Linked DNA regions of Lepisosteus oculatus. The protein of the gene in region 1 binds, or shares a complex with, the protein of each later gene. Links are inferred from orthologs where the notes say so. Each region holds a gene or a part of one and is shown in the gene's direction. Other genes may lie near its edges.

Region 1 (7,020 bases):
GAGCATGAAGTGTCAGCAAGTTTAGGGAGGGGCCAGCTGTTTCGCCTAATCCTGCAGACAGGTGCACGATTCGATATTTATTGTAGATTCTTGCCAGATTCACAGGGCATGTTGCACAGCAGTTTCACCGTTGCAGTCTTGTCTAGTCAGAAGCATTCACTTGCTACACTGTAAATACCACTGACCATCAATGCAGGCCAACCCCAAGAACTGACACGAACCCCCTTTCCTTCCACCCTGCCCTGTATCAAAAGAGGGGCGTCATGTGCTGCTGAGAATTTCCTGTCATCCGCCGTGCGCCCATCAGGTGTCCGTAATGATAGTGCGAAGCTTTATCTAAAGTGCATTTTTTGCTTTTCAGAATTCAGAAGGTCAATTTTTAAAATCTGTCCAAGAGGTTTTTTGATCGGGGCCGGACCTGTTGGAGATGGAAATTCACATGACTGAATCATGACATGCTTAAAACATCCGTCCCGCTACTGTTGTAATGTAATGTACTGCTTCATTTTGTGCCACTTACGGGATGATTTTGGCAAATTATCAGTAGAACAGAATGTAAGGTATCGTAGCTGACTGCCGGTAGAAATGTCCAGAAGGATGCTTTGAATGTACACTGTAAATGCAATATTTGAAGTGATGGTACAGTATGCTTAGGATGTCATTTTAGTACCTGAGAATGAAGTTTCATTTTTGCTAAAAGTTTGCAGACTGAAACAATAGGTATAAAAGCAGACTTTCATGGAAAGAGATGCAAACATTTGACAGGCTATGGTTTCATAACATTTGTATAATGAATGGAAAAACCCTAACTTTACACTGAACATTAGAAATGTCTGTAATGTTACATGGTTAGTTTTTTATGTATACACAATTAAAATAGGAAATCGGTTTTTCTTCTTCAAACTAGTAACTAGTAATTTTTACTTGAAGTCAGCTATGCAACAGGACTCCCTGATTATGTTAATAATTGCCACTAAGATCTGGAGATCAGTTAAGGTCAAGCCCTAAGTCTACCGCAGAAATTATCAATAATTTAGAAATATTAAGAAACTATTTATGCAGTTGGCAATTTAATTCTCCATCCCAGCCAGGTAACCAAGTCAAAGTGCCATAAAGGAGCTTGCATTACTGTACTGTTTTCACTGTAACACAGCATACTTTAATATCTTAATCTTTGACACACTAAAACTGTACTGTACATGGTTCAACTAGGAGCCATGACAGACTTACATTAACCTAGGAATTTGGATTTACTTTGCATTATACCCTCTGCTTAATTGGCACAGTAGAGTTCTAGTCAATAAATGCAGTGGGACATGAACTAGTGATATCACAAGTAATGTGTTTTGTAGTGATCACCCCTGTATTCGTTTTAATGTATGTTGTCAGAATCTGATATTATCACTCTGAGAATTATTATCTTAGATTTAATATAATTGTGGTATATACAGTTATTGTTGGGGGATAAGGGTAGTTCCTGGAGATTACACTTTATTTAGATCTCTTGTTTTTCAAACGTACAGTACTCCACTGAGATTACTGGCCCAGTTCAGCGATGGTTGCGACTATATGAAACACAGACACAATTTAATTTTGTTAAATTGAAGGAAGAAAGAGAAACCTTTTGGGCTACAAGTTAGATTAACAATAAGATTAACAGTTTGTACATTTGAAGGACATGCCATGCTTAGTCATACCGTTAGGACACAATGTTTCAATCATACCCAACAGGGACCATTACAGTACAAATTCCCTTTTTAGGCAGAAATCACAGGACAATTGTGAGAAATTAGATGTCTAGGACAACTTTCTGAATGCTCTGCTTATACACACAGCTTTTCACAGATCTGAAAAAGAGGTCATATTTGAATTTGTGTTAACAAGGTTCATCATGTCAATTAGCTGAACAGAGTTTATTCAGAAATCTCTGGATCAATTAAATCGATGGTTCTCTGCTGGTACCCTCTCATACGCTACTCCTGCTCTGAGCAGCTGTTGCTCTGCTCTGGCTGCTGTTGTTATCTGTAGCCCTAATACTGATCCAAAAAAGATTACATCCCATTTTGGATCAATCCCGTTCCTCATTTTGTTCATTCTGTAATGTTGCATTTGCATTACAAAACAGAACATCTTTTGTTATATCAAAATGTTAGTGCTGTTGTTTGCCCAGCCTGTTCTTCTGCACATTAGTCATGTGTATTTAGCAATCAGAAAGAAGCCAAGTTTAATGGAAGAAAAGGGACGACTGAATGAACTAGGTGTCAATGTACTGTATTTTATAACAGTACTCTTGTAGTGGAAGGCTACTAACCTTCAGTTCACAAAACTGGATGACGCTTTATTTTTTTAATAAAGCTGACACTTAAAAATGCCTTTTTGCCATAAAATAATGCTTAAAAGATTATGATGTTGCCAGCAGTCAATGTTCATTCATCTCATGTACAAGGTCTAACAGATTTTCTAATAAAACATGTCAAGACTGTGTGTTTTGTAGTATGTAGTTTTTTTTACCTACCTTAAGTTTGCCTTCTTCACAAGCATATGTTCTTACTTTTGAGCAATCTATACTCTAATTACAAACTAGCAGTGTGAAGAGTAATTACATATTTTACTGAAATTAACAAAACACTTAAGCAGGAAAAGCACAGTAATACTATCTAGAAATACTGTATTGTGTTACAAAATCACATCAACAATCCATTAACAGAAACGGAAGGCTATCTACAAACTGGCAGGTCTATAAACTGGACAGGACACTAGTTTATTGCAAGGTACAGACACACAGTGGCTCAAGTGGGTCATGGACAATTTAGGTACCCTCTTAAACTAGCCAGTGTGTCTTGGATGTTGGGAGAGAAATAGATAATTCACAAAAACCCATGGGTGTGATGCGAGACCAAGCTAACTCCACAGATAAGGTACCCAAGCTTTAGTTTTAGAATGAAACACAAAAACTGTGAGGCAAGGTCATTGTGGTTTTGTACGTAGTTATGATTTATACGCACTATATCATATAGTATATGCATTTATATGCGCTTTGGTTGATGTCGATGTTGGAATGCACAGGTGATGGGTTTAAAACAATTCTATATCAGGGCATATGCTGTGGCTAGTTTTTTTTATTTCCATTACTTTATCATGATTTACGTATTTGCCGAAAACCGGTTGTATAACTTGGTTTAAGTGGTTGTATACATGTGGGCAAAATAAGGCGTTATAAATCCGACTATGCCATTATTATAACCCATTACAGCAATAAGGACAATGTAAAGAGTGTCAGGAAATCATGCATTTCTTTAAACTAGTTTTACTGTATCAGGCCACGGTAAGAGAAGTGCGCTGATACTGCTGGAGGACGGAACATTTCTATTTTCTGTTCGGTCTGTGATTCTTTCGTGTGCTGCGAGTGATAAGAACGACAATTATTAGCATTAACAGCAAAGTGCAAAAAGAAATAAAGTCGTTTGCGTGCGCAAGACATTAATTTAACAAAATGTTGTTCTTGCTGCTCAACGCCAACACACACACACAGGCGAAGCGACAAAACATCACGGAAGTGTGAATTTACAAGGTAACGTCGGACGTGTTTTTATTAGGTAATAAATTATACAGTGTAGCAGCGAATAAAAAAAAAATGCAGAACTAAGTCGTACCCCCCTGTTCTGCTATAATAATAAATCCTTCACTACTAAAATCAATTATTGGTTCGATTTTTGTCAAAGAGAATTTCGGTTTACTGAGTTTCAGAGCAGCTCACAACCAATAGCTTCGTCCCTTGTTGCGGAGCTAACTTCTCCCCCTGTTCTCCTTAGCTCAGAGATCACCGCCATCGGCGGAAACTACGGCAAGCGAAAAGACAAATCTGCACGACGCCCTGAACGATTCGTTTACGCCAGTTGCGCAGCCTAACACTACACGCCTCATGCCAGGAAGCAGGAGGAGATTGATTTGTGAATAGGGCGAAAACGAGAAAAGGCTGTCTAGTGTCTGCCCACCCCCCCCCCCTCGCTTCGTGTTGTTGTCACGGCTGCCTGCTCCGTTTTTTTTTTGTTACCGAACAGGAGTTGATTCCAATGGAGTGATCAGGTAAGGATTAAAACCCAGCCTATGTGCTTGTTCTGCTTGGCTTAAAGAAAAAAGATTAAAAGGTGTAACTGCAATAAAGCGAGGGCGTTTTTACCGACTATGGCAGAGATTCAGATCTCCGGCTGCGGAGCCGGTGTATAGCCTGCACATCCATGGTGGCGGAAAACCAAACTCGGAGGGCCTGTGATGGTTGCGTTCATACATCGCAAATCTCGGGCGGAAAACGAAATCCGCTCCTTTCGGGTTCGAGTTCGCGTCTGTCGTACGGTTTTCGGTCTGAAGCGAGCAGGGGGGACGCCTTCGCGTCTCGGAAACCTGCAGGTTGAAACCAAAATGTCACCAAAAAGGGTTTTCTTCTGACTGCTGACGCGCATCGTTGGGATAACATCTCCACCGTAACCATCGCATGCATCTCCTCCAGACTGGTAGCCAACAGTGTGTGTGATGTTTGAAATGATGGAAATAAATTACTCGGCAAATGCAAAATATGCAGCATTTTGATATGGGTGCTATCATTCTTACAAACCATTATTTTAAGGTGTCAAAACCCTAACTTATATTTTTCCTGTCACGATCACAGCTTTTGTTTCTTTTTACTTGAACTCAAATTTATATTGAGATTTTTAAAGAAATGTATTTTCGTGAGAAATGGTTCCTGTATATGATCTTTTTAAGATGTACAATAATGCCGCTCTTGTATCTTGTACATAACTACAGTGCACAGACTGCTAAATGTTACTGAATTATCTTATAAGCTGCTCGGATTCGTTATAGTGGTTTAAATACGAATATACATGCATTTTCTGCATTCCTTGTTGGTCATATTACTGCCAAAGATAAACTGTTTTTGAGGAGGAATAATTACTCCTTCTGTTGACTCTATTATTAAATTATTAAATCCATGCAGGGTTTATTCATTTTTCCTAGACGTAAAGGTCGGTTTTGTCAGTTGCTGTCTGTCATGCTTTTGCGTTATCTGTTCAGTTTATTCTTGGAGGTCGAGATTGTGTGAATTCGTGTGTGGTGCTGGTATCTGGTATTTATTTTCTGCATGTAAAAATGCTGAAAAGAAAGGGGTTTATTATGAAACTCAGGTTTCTGAATACTCTTTCGCTTAGGTAGGCTGAATGACCATGGGGTACGATCATTTTATGCTCTTATTTTTATAGTTAATGTCACAAATTGTGTGGTCCAGCCCAGTCTCTTCTGTCAAAGAGCTGAGCTTCAGTTGGATTGCCTCTTTTGAAGGAAAATTGCATTGAACTTCTCTATAATCTGAAAAGTTGAAGAAACATTGTGCATTCTTCTTCAGTGATGGTGCTTCTTTGGAAGCTGTGATGGTGCATGTCTGTCATGTTTCCAACCGCTCATGAAGGCCGATATAGCAGCGTAGAAAGCACAGTGTTGACCCTTGTAATAAGATGTTTTATACAGAGAGGCCTAACCTTTTGTATTCAGAGCTGGGGAGGTGCCTTGTCCTATATTCAAAAATAAATTGAACAAAGTGATCAGGACTGGTGGCAAGACTACTTCCACAATCCTGGACTCAGTAATGGAGTGATATATTATTAATTTTGCACATAAAATCTGAGATGACCCCTCACCTCCACTCTTTTTAGAATATACCTTCCTATCCTCAGGGAGAAGGTATTGCATCTTCTGTATAAAGACTAAGAGATCACTTCTTTCCTTTATACCTAAAAGCGTTCAACTCTTCTATATTAAAATGTTTGTAGGTAGGGATCACATTAGTTTTGTTTTTGGATTTTTGTAAGAACATTTTTTGTTTTTTAACCCTTATGGTACTGGACGTTGAATGTGGTCCAAACACCAAACAACTTTGTTATTGTTGCTGCATTATATTGTGGTCGTATTTGTGTATGAGCTTTGTGATGTGCAAGACATCCCTTTAGGAGCAATAATTGTTCATTCAATTTAGAATGTTTATGAGAACATTAAAAATAGTTTTTTGTTCCTGAAATGTTTTTTTTTCCCATAGCTGATAAATGTAATTGAGATCTTAACAGTACTGGGCCCATTGTACAGCTCCTGTGAGCCGCACTGTGAGGTTGTCAGGTAGTCTGTTTTGACCTTTTTTTGTGCTGCACCTGATTGGCTGTTACTTGTGTGAACCTGAGCTCAAGCCCTTCCCACAATGCCTCTCGGTTCTGCAGGGTTGGTTTTGATCAAGCCTCGCTGCTCTACAGGAGGGGCAATGGCAGACTGGCAGGGCCGAGAGCCACCCTCAGCGTGGACAGCACCTGTGGGCGAACCAGACACGGGGCTGGACTCTGGGGTGGAGGATGACCATGACCTCTCACCCCGGCCCCGCTGCCAGGACAACAACTCCAACATCTTCATCGCCTTTAAGGGCAACATGGGTGATGAAGACTTCCAGGAGAACCTGCACAACTTCTTAGAAAGTATGCCAGGCATGCTGGAACTAGGTGAGCAACAACGCGATAGCATTGTGAGAATTAAAATACACTGTACCCACCACATTATGGATAAAAGCAAAGATTTGATCTCACTGGGAAAACGATATTGGATCACAATCTGTCTATGCTTTTATACAGAACCAAGTACAGAGGTAACAGTGGAAAGTTGTAATAGTGTGACTAGAGTAGTAGAATCCAGCATCAGGTATGGACATTTACATAAAACAAAACATCAGTGCAAACTCCTACTTTTCAGTGCCTTAACTGCGAATTCTGTCACTCACACCGGCCGCGGCTGGGCGTTGGCGGGGCTTCTTCGTGGTTTCCTCTCACCCGTCTTTCCCTCCTGTGCCCGGGCAGACTCGGAGCGGCTGCTGCCCCAGCGGCTGGAGCCCTGGAACAGCGTGCGCGTGACGTTCAACATCCCCCGGGACGCCGCCGACCGCCTGCGGCTGATCGCGCAGAACAACCAGCAGCAGCTGCGCGATCTGGGCAT
Region 2 (8,039 bases), on another chromosome or scaffold:
GTTTATTTTTTAAATTGTTTATAAATTATGTATTTGTATTGGGCAACTTCCAATAATTAGTGCATGATCCTCTGTTGTGATGATTCCTGAATTTACTTTAAATCTGCTTTGGTAGTTAGCTCCCTTCATTAAAATAGTTATGTTAGCATAGCAGTAACGCACCACATTGCTTTACAACAGGAAAGATAAAATATGGAGTGCTAACCACACTCAAAACACTATTCAGCAGTTCTCTTTGAAAAAAAATGTTCTCTGTAAAACAAACAGCAACCTGTGAAGCAAAGTACCTACTTAAAGAATCATTGTAATCAGTTAAAACGTTTACCTTTACAAGCTCTTTTTCTTTTGCCTAAAGTCTCTAATCCTACCTCTTGAACAATTGCTCCTGTATTAGTTTGGTTTGTTTTTTCATGCTTTTCTGTTATGAATTCAACGCAGAAGAGGCACATCGTGCATTTTTGAAACTCTAGGAGGTTTTTCAGCTTCATCTTCTGCTTTGTTCTGTCTAGAAAAGTTATACCTAGACATGGATTCTACGTCATCCCACATCTCTTGTGCTTTACAGGCCTCTCTGCTGTTGCTAGTGACAGAAAGCCACTCCTCTCTGCCTCTCTGACACCTCTGACAGATTTAAAGCTTGGCAGAACTGTACCAATATAGGAAGCGGAGTTCCTGTCAGCCAGGAAAGTGACCCCTGCTATGTGTGACTATAACAAAGGGCCCCAAACATTACTGGCTGTGGTGCACACCTGACAGGCAGAGAGCTGAGGAGCTTGCATGACCTTTGCAAACTGAGAGAAATACTCTATTCTATGAAATAGCTGATATGACTCTTTTTTTTTCTTTGTGCATGTAATCCAGGTTATCTTTATGCACATATATGTTTCTGGTGCAACCTGGAACCTGGAGACTGGCTGCAAGTAGTCTCAGTCCTAAAAATCCTATATGGCTGACCCTGCCCTCTGACCCCAAGCTTCTCTCCCTGTCTGTGTCTCATGGAGAGCAAGTTGGGGTCTGCGAAGAGACAGATTCCTAATACAATAAATTGTATATGGCCAATAAAGTGATCTTATTGTCAACAAAATCTTAACAAGGACATCCATGAATATGATTAGATGTTAATCATGTAACAAAAATCATATTTGACATTATAGGTTGCTTGTCCGACTGTTTGACAGTGTATCACAAGCGAATATGGACCTGGATTCTATTCTCCCACATAGCTCTAAGAACACTTTGCCTAAGCTATTTAAATGACAGGTATGCTGTAATACATGCTCTCGATATGTGCAAAAAAATCAAGAAATATGGAAAACTATGTGCACATAGGTATTAAATTACCTACATGCATCATATAATCTATCTCCTAACATGCCCTTCATTTACAGCAGCACTCCAACAGAAGGAAAAGGACTGATTTTTTTGCATGCTATGTCTACTGTTACCGATACGACCCTGGGGGCGGGGGTGGGAGGGGTTTTTATGTTTGTGAGAGCCCCCCATTGCCAGGGAATCCAATCCAGCTGACAATGAGGTAATGAGCCTGTGTTTAAAGCCGGCCTGAAAGTTGATTTTGATTTCTTGTTGGGCCTATCTACCTCCCTGAGAATGTGGACTACCGCTTGCATAATTAACACAACAACAGCGCTGTGGACCACTGACATTTTGTTCATATATAGAAACGACAACCATGGTTCTTGGACCCTGAGGCCATGTAACTCATAAAGCCTTCAAGGTGGTTTTGTTTGCACAATCTGCTGGACACCTGCAGTGCTTGGTTAACTTCCTGGGCGCCTTGAAAGCAAGGCTGAAAGTGCTTGCCTGAGTGTAAAATGTACTCGACGATTACGGATTATGATTATGGACGATTACGGACCTTGTTCAGGTCACTAGCCGACTGTGACTGGGATTCTGGGCTTATGGTACGGGACAAGAGGAGAGATGAGATGGGAAGGAAACAAAGCAAAAGTGCACCCAGGTGACAAAACTAGGCCATTTTAGGCCTGTGGTTCTTTTCCTTGCCTGTCATGATGTGGGTCATGATTTAATCCCCAGCTGTTGCAGCTTTTAGGACTTGGGGTTCTGAGCCACGGAGAATAATGTCTCTTCTGATTTTCATTCCTTCCAAGTTCTTAATTACAGGCTTATTGATGTGTGTTTTCAACCTGTAGCATTATCTACATTATTAATTTTAACTCTTAAAGGGTCAAATGGGATATATAATTGGTTTCATCCCTGTGTCATTTTCTAAATTACAAAACATCCCTCTCACACAAAACTGGCATAAATCAGTTAGATCTAACTGGATCAGTGCAGAAGAAAGAAACGCTCACTGTGGGCGTTCATCAGCAACTGGTCGACTAGGAAGAGACCTTTAGTAAGAAACAATGTTCTGTGTACTGGAAGTGTTGGAAGCAGCACCCCTTGAGCTAAATAAAAATCTAAACAAGCAGGCAGATCCAATAAATCACCAATCAGCCCCTGATACTTCGAGTTCAACTGGAATATAATACAGAAGAGCGTTCCTCCAGAACCAGGGCTGGGAACCATTGGTTGAGGTATATGTATCATTTTAACACATACATTTTAACACAATCGGCTGTTCTCACATGTAATAAGTGATTAAGATTTCCATTTGTTTAGAGCTCAGCAAAGACCTCTACCTATTTTCCATATAAAAAATTAATCTATATGTTGATGGACCTATAACACACGCAATTGATTTTACATAGATGTTCACACTGCTGCAGTTCTCCTTCTTAATATTTGGATTCTAGTACACAAGAAAAATACTCAAGGTGAATTTTATTTTTCTTAAAAAAAAGGGTGGCAAATGTTTATTTAGAGAAAATCACTCAATAAAGTCAAAAATAATAACAGGCAAGTTGAAGAGTGTTCTGCTTTCTGAAAGTATTGGAAACAAGTTAAAGAATTTCTATACTGCAGAAAGAATTCCTAGAGTATTGATTAATCTTAGTATAACTGAGAATGAGGTATTGCTGCAAGCGGAATGACTACAATTTTTCACTTCCTCTCGGCCTGACTATTTTCCCAGTAGTTCTTTAGAAAAAGTGTCTGGATTGTTTCATAGACCTTTTACCAGTATAATTCACGTCATTAAGAATCGCACCAATTTCAGAATTGCAAATGTAACACCAATGCATAAAAAGCGGGACAAAATTAAACTAGGAAACTATAAGTCAATCAGTCTTATTTATGTTGCTGGCAATGTTACAGAAATGATAGCTGGAACTGAACTAAAAGAATTATTTAAAACATTTGCATTTTAAGAGACAGCCAACATGGATTTAGATGAAAGCCTCATTTAATTTACCAGCGACAAGGACAGTTGATCCACTATTGAAACCACTATAGAAAATGACATATTTAGACTACCAGAAAGTATTTGACAAGGTCGCTCATTAAAAGCTTTATTAAAAAAAACTCAATGTAAAAAAACGCACATAGATTGAAACTGGTTTAACAAACAAGAATTCTTATGCATTTATCCATCCTAAAATGCATAACCTATGAAAGGGGCTGATATTTATTTTTTATGATTTGTATAAGCAATTTGGATTTTGATATTAGCTAACAAAACAGTTAATGGTTGCATGACACAAAAACACAAGTGGCAAACACACAAACAGCAGCAAGAGAAGTACCAAGGGTTAAAAAAAATGGATTGGATTTTATGAAATTTAAAAGTAACATTGAAGCACAAACATTTACTATGCATGTACATCCCACATGGGTGATTTGGAGCTGCAGGGAGTTACACAAAAGAAGCATCTGGTTGTTTATGTGAATTATTTTTCAGCTACATCAAAATAACATGAGGAAGCAAAGAAAAGTTAATGGAATACTTGGGGTGCATAGGAAAAAGTGTGGGATTCAAACAGTGTAATTATGAACCATCTTTAAAATTCTTTAGTAAGACATCTACAATATTCTAGCTCCTAGAGGCAATTTGCTACAAGTATACAAAACGCCAAGGGGTTTAGATAAGACTATTTTTCAGGTATTAACAAAACCAGATCACAGTTGAAAAAAAAAGGAATGTATTGAGAGGAAAACAGGACCCATTTCTCCAAACTTGTGTCCAGAGCATATGCTCTCCATCCTTTTGTTGAGAACAAAAGTTATGCCTTTTGAAAATAAGATCTCAAACAAGGATGGACACAACGGCCACCTCTTGCTTGCAGCTGTGCGTACAAAGCACCATATTTCACTTTACTGTTTCTTTACGAGTTTCACACACTCACGTTTTACGCTGCCTTTTGCTCAGAAAGGGATGAATTTCCAAGTTACACATTACAGATTGCTTTACTAATATCGACGGCACCTTCAGTTTAAAAAAACTCATTTTAAATCGCAATCTGTGTGGGAACCATGAAAACGAACGACCCCCCCCCCCCCCCACAAACAAAAATGGGTAAAACAAGATAATGGCGTTTTTGTTATAGTGAAAAAAGGGTTTCTAACTGCACAACCGCAGTTTGGCACTTCCCCCTAACCGAGCATTTTACTGAATCAATAACCAAGAAATAACTTCGCCTTTTACACCGAGCATTTTACTAAATCACGAACCAAGAAATAACTTCGCCTTTTACCATCACAACCAGCGCACCTCAAACTATCTACGCTGTAACCAAAAAATGGGGCACAGTCATCGCAATTACTCGTATATGTAGCTGGACCTACTAACCTGCTGTATAATTAAGGCCGCCTTTTGCAATACCACACGGAAAATGGCAGGACTCTCATCCAATCGTGGCATCGGAAAGGTAAAACGTCACCCTATTGAATGGACTGCCCACCAATCCATGCGAGAGGGCAGAACGAGCGAAGTTGTGTGTGTTTTTTCTATCCTTGCCGTTTTGTAAGTTTGTATGAGAGGCGCGGAGCTCCAGAGAAAGGAACCCCAAGACATCCACAGACAAGGCTGGTCACATGACGCGGCGGGCGCTCCTCATTGGCTGCGGCAGGCAGAGGGGAGGGCGTACCGACGGCGGCGGCGTGGGTTCGCCTGTGTGACACAATTACAACAACTTTGAGCTGGTGGTTTGGGGGGAAGTTTGTGATATTAACCAAATAACACCCCGTTTTGAAAAACCCCGCATTCATAGCACTCCATGCACAACAACGCTCTCGGTTGCATACAGATATTTTTTGTATAAAACAATGTAAAAAAAAAAAGAAGACCATTTTGGAGGGTTTCTTTTTTTTTTTTTTGCTCTCCTGTAAAAAGGATTTACTGTTTATTTTTTTTTTTTTGCATTTTTTTTTTTCAATCCTGGAAATAAAAAAGTTGGTTTTCCCTCTCCCGATTTTTTTTGGCTTCGCTGTTTTGTTTTGGTGGAGGTTTTTCGTTGGCTGCCCCCCCGGTGCGTTCCCATGAAATCGTGCGGAGTGTCGCTCGCCGCCGCCGCCTGCGCTGCTGCTCGAAGTCTCGGCGCTACTGCTGGTGATGAGGAAAAGAAAATGGCGGCGGGAAAAGCGATTGAAACCGAAGAGGACTTTCCGAGGCTGACAGCGCAGGAGAGGGACACCCTGGCCGGGATAGACAGGTCAGAAAAGGGCGCGGTGCGGGGAAAATGCCGCTTTTTCTCTTCTTCCTGGCGTTCCGCGGTGGTGGTGGTCTTCTTTTCCCCCCCCAAAAAAACGAGTGAATTTAAACCCGCTTGGTTATTTTTTGCAAAACCTCCCGAGTTAACGCGGAGCCGCCTGTGTGTTGTTTTCTGTTTTACAGCCGGCTGTTTGGATTTCAGAGGCTTCATGAAGATGGCGCCAGAACGAAGGCCTTGCTATTAAAGGTATTTGAAGAATATCGGACCCGAGAAGGCCTTCCCCCCCTTAAACTCCCGTTAGTGCATTTTGTACCTGGGAGGCACCTAGTTTAAAGCGCTTTAAGAGAAAAGAGGTCGACCTCATGGCGATGCGCCCCCCGTGCATTAAAAATTGGTGTGTTTTGCACCCTCTCCCCAGTCTTGCACATTTGCAGAGCTGTGGGAGATCGGGAGTGGGACTCTTATTTTGGGGCATTTAATTTTTCAGGGTAGCAATGTTTGCAGCGGTGACGTTGTTAGTGTTATTGTGCGTGTGTGTTTTTAACATGGAAAAGTAGTGACTACATCAGGACCTTCGTGCATCTCACCAGGCTGCGCGGTTCCGTTTCCCTGTTTTTTTTTTGGGGAGGGGGACAGTTTTGGCAAACTGGTCCTCGGATGTTGATGTAGGATCTGTAAAAATGGGTCAGTCATATTTGGGAGCCACGTCCAGTTTGTGGCGATATTACGGATTGTTAGATGGCTGTGCGGTTTAGATTGCAGTTGGATTTGTGTTATTGAACCTGAATTCGCGACGAGGGGAATTAGGATCTTTATTTTAAATCCTTTCACCGCCCCCCCCCCCATGACTTTAGCTCAAGCTAAAAGCAGAAATTGTTGCGGTTATTTGGTGCTTTCCAGCAGTTGCGTTCCCTGGATGTTATTTACATGGCCGTGTCGTGCAGTTAGCTGTACCCGCCACCCAGCCGTGCCTGTCGTCGCGGTTTGCTTGACAGTAAATAAGTAAAAACTTGTTGACCGTGTTCGTGTGGAAGGGATGCTGTCTTACGAGGGGGGGAGAGGGGGTTTGCGACGAAGTTGTTGGTTCTGTTTTTAAACATAGTTAGTAATGGCTGCTTGAATCGGCCCAAGATGGCGGGACGGGGAGGAGAAAAAAGTGAGAGAGAAATAGAGGCAGGGGAGCTAAATTATCGAATATATCAAGCCTGTTGAGAGACATTGGGCGGCGAGTTCGGTTTCTCTCCGTTTATTTTTATACTTTTTACGTCGTTTTCACCCACGGTATTTTGCGTTTTATTTACAAAAAAAAAAACCCCGACGGGGACGGCTTGCTTGTGTGCTGCGTTTGCTGTGCGCGTGCCACCCCCTGCTCTCGGCACCTATCGCATCATCAACCTGTAGCACATTGGACACCGAACAAAGGCTACCGGGGGGTCCGTTTTTGGAGGTTCCCATTTTTTCCTCACTCTAAAAGAATGCACGATGCAGGTGCACAGTTTTTGCAAACCCCCCCCCCCCCCCAGTCTGTTTCACTCGTCTGTTGAGTCGTGCTCAGGAGGTCTGGAAGGTCTGGGCCTCTTTCGTGTGCCATGATATTATATTCTTCGGGGTGAGGGTGCCTTAAGTGTAGACCCAATTATTCATGAGGCAGGGCAACTTCAGTTTTTTTTTCCCCCGCGCAGGCTGTAACCAATGCGGTTAACGTTTAGTTTCGCTATGCACCAATACTGGCACGTATGGTGCGACTGAACCAGTTTTGAAATTCGTGGACTTGTGTGTGAGAAATACGCTCTTGTAGGATTTGTCCTCATGCCCCGATATGTAAATTAAAAGGCGTCGGTGGTGCTCGAAGCCATTGTTTTTAACTACGGATTGTGTTTCCAGTTTTAGGGTTGTATTAACGATGCACACTAATTCTAGTCAGAGTAGGATATCACTTCCGTATTTGGGAATCTATAAACGAAACGGAAGGATAAACATTAGGGGAAAGATGGGCGTCATTTAGTCACACAAATGTCCCTTTTATCGAATTGTTGTTTTGTTGCGTGTTTGTGCTTGAACGCCAAGCCTTTGGATTAGCTTTGGTGAACGTTCACTTTAAATGAGCCCAGAATTTGGGGTTTTATTTCCAGGTACAATTTTGCCATGTTGTTACTTTTGCTGTCTTGGTGAAAATAACCTCGCAGGTTTTATGGTTTCAAAAAAGATGTGTGGATGAGGCAGCAAAACCTTACTGCAGAACAGTGCGAACACGTTGGTAGAAAATTATTGCTGTTTGACCAGGAGTGTCTCTTCATAGCACATTGAGGTCCTGGGCGCCTGGAAAGTGTTGATTCTCTTACTGTGTGTAGTTTTCATTAAAAGTTTTAAATGTAAAACTACTGCTACAGTGGTCTTTATGAATCATTGGTAGGCCACCAAATGTCTGTGTTAGTCTTAAGCAATAGGGAGGATGGGATTACATTAAAA

What was found.
Region 2: ncoa6 (region 1) and kdm6a share a complex: the UniProt entries of both Homo sapiens proteins name them as parts of the MLL2/3 complex. The link is inferred for Lepisosteus oculatus from reciprocal best matches to the Homo sapiens genes NCOA6 and KDM6A.

The regions. Positions count from the first base shown.
Region 1 is NC_090711.1:6,899,139-6,906,158, forward strand, and holds the start of ncoa6 (nuclear receptor coactivator 6), read left to right. Parts: upstream 1-3,984; 5' UTR 3,985-4,086; intron 4,087-6,260; 5' UTR 6,261-6,301; coding exon 6,302-6,533; intron 6,534-6,884; coding exon 6,885-7,020. UniProt on the Homo sapiens protein: Nuclear receptor coactivator that directly binds nuclear receptors and stimulates the transcriptional activities in a hormone-dependent fashion. Coactivates expression in an agonist- and AF2-dependent manner.
Region 2 is NC_090710.1:3,601,569-3,609,607, reverse strand, and holds the start of kdm6a (lysine-specific demethylase 6A), read left to right. Parts: upstream 1-5,032; 5' UTR 5,033-5,397; coding exon 5,398-5,570; intron 5,571-5,752; coding exon 5,753-5,816; intron 5,817-8,039. UniProt on the Homo sapiens protein: Histone demethylase that specifically demethylates 'Lys-27' of histone H3, thereby playing a central role in histone code. Demethylates trimethylated and dimethylated but not monomethylated H3 'Lys-27'.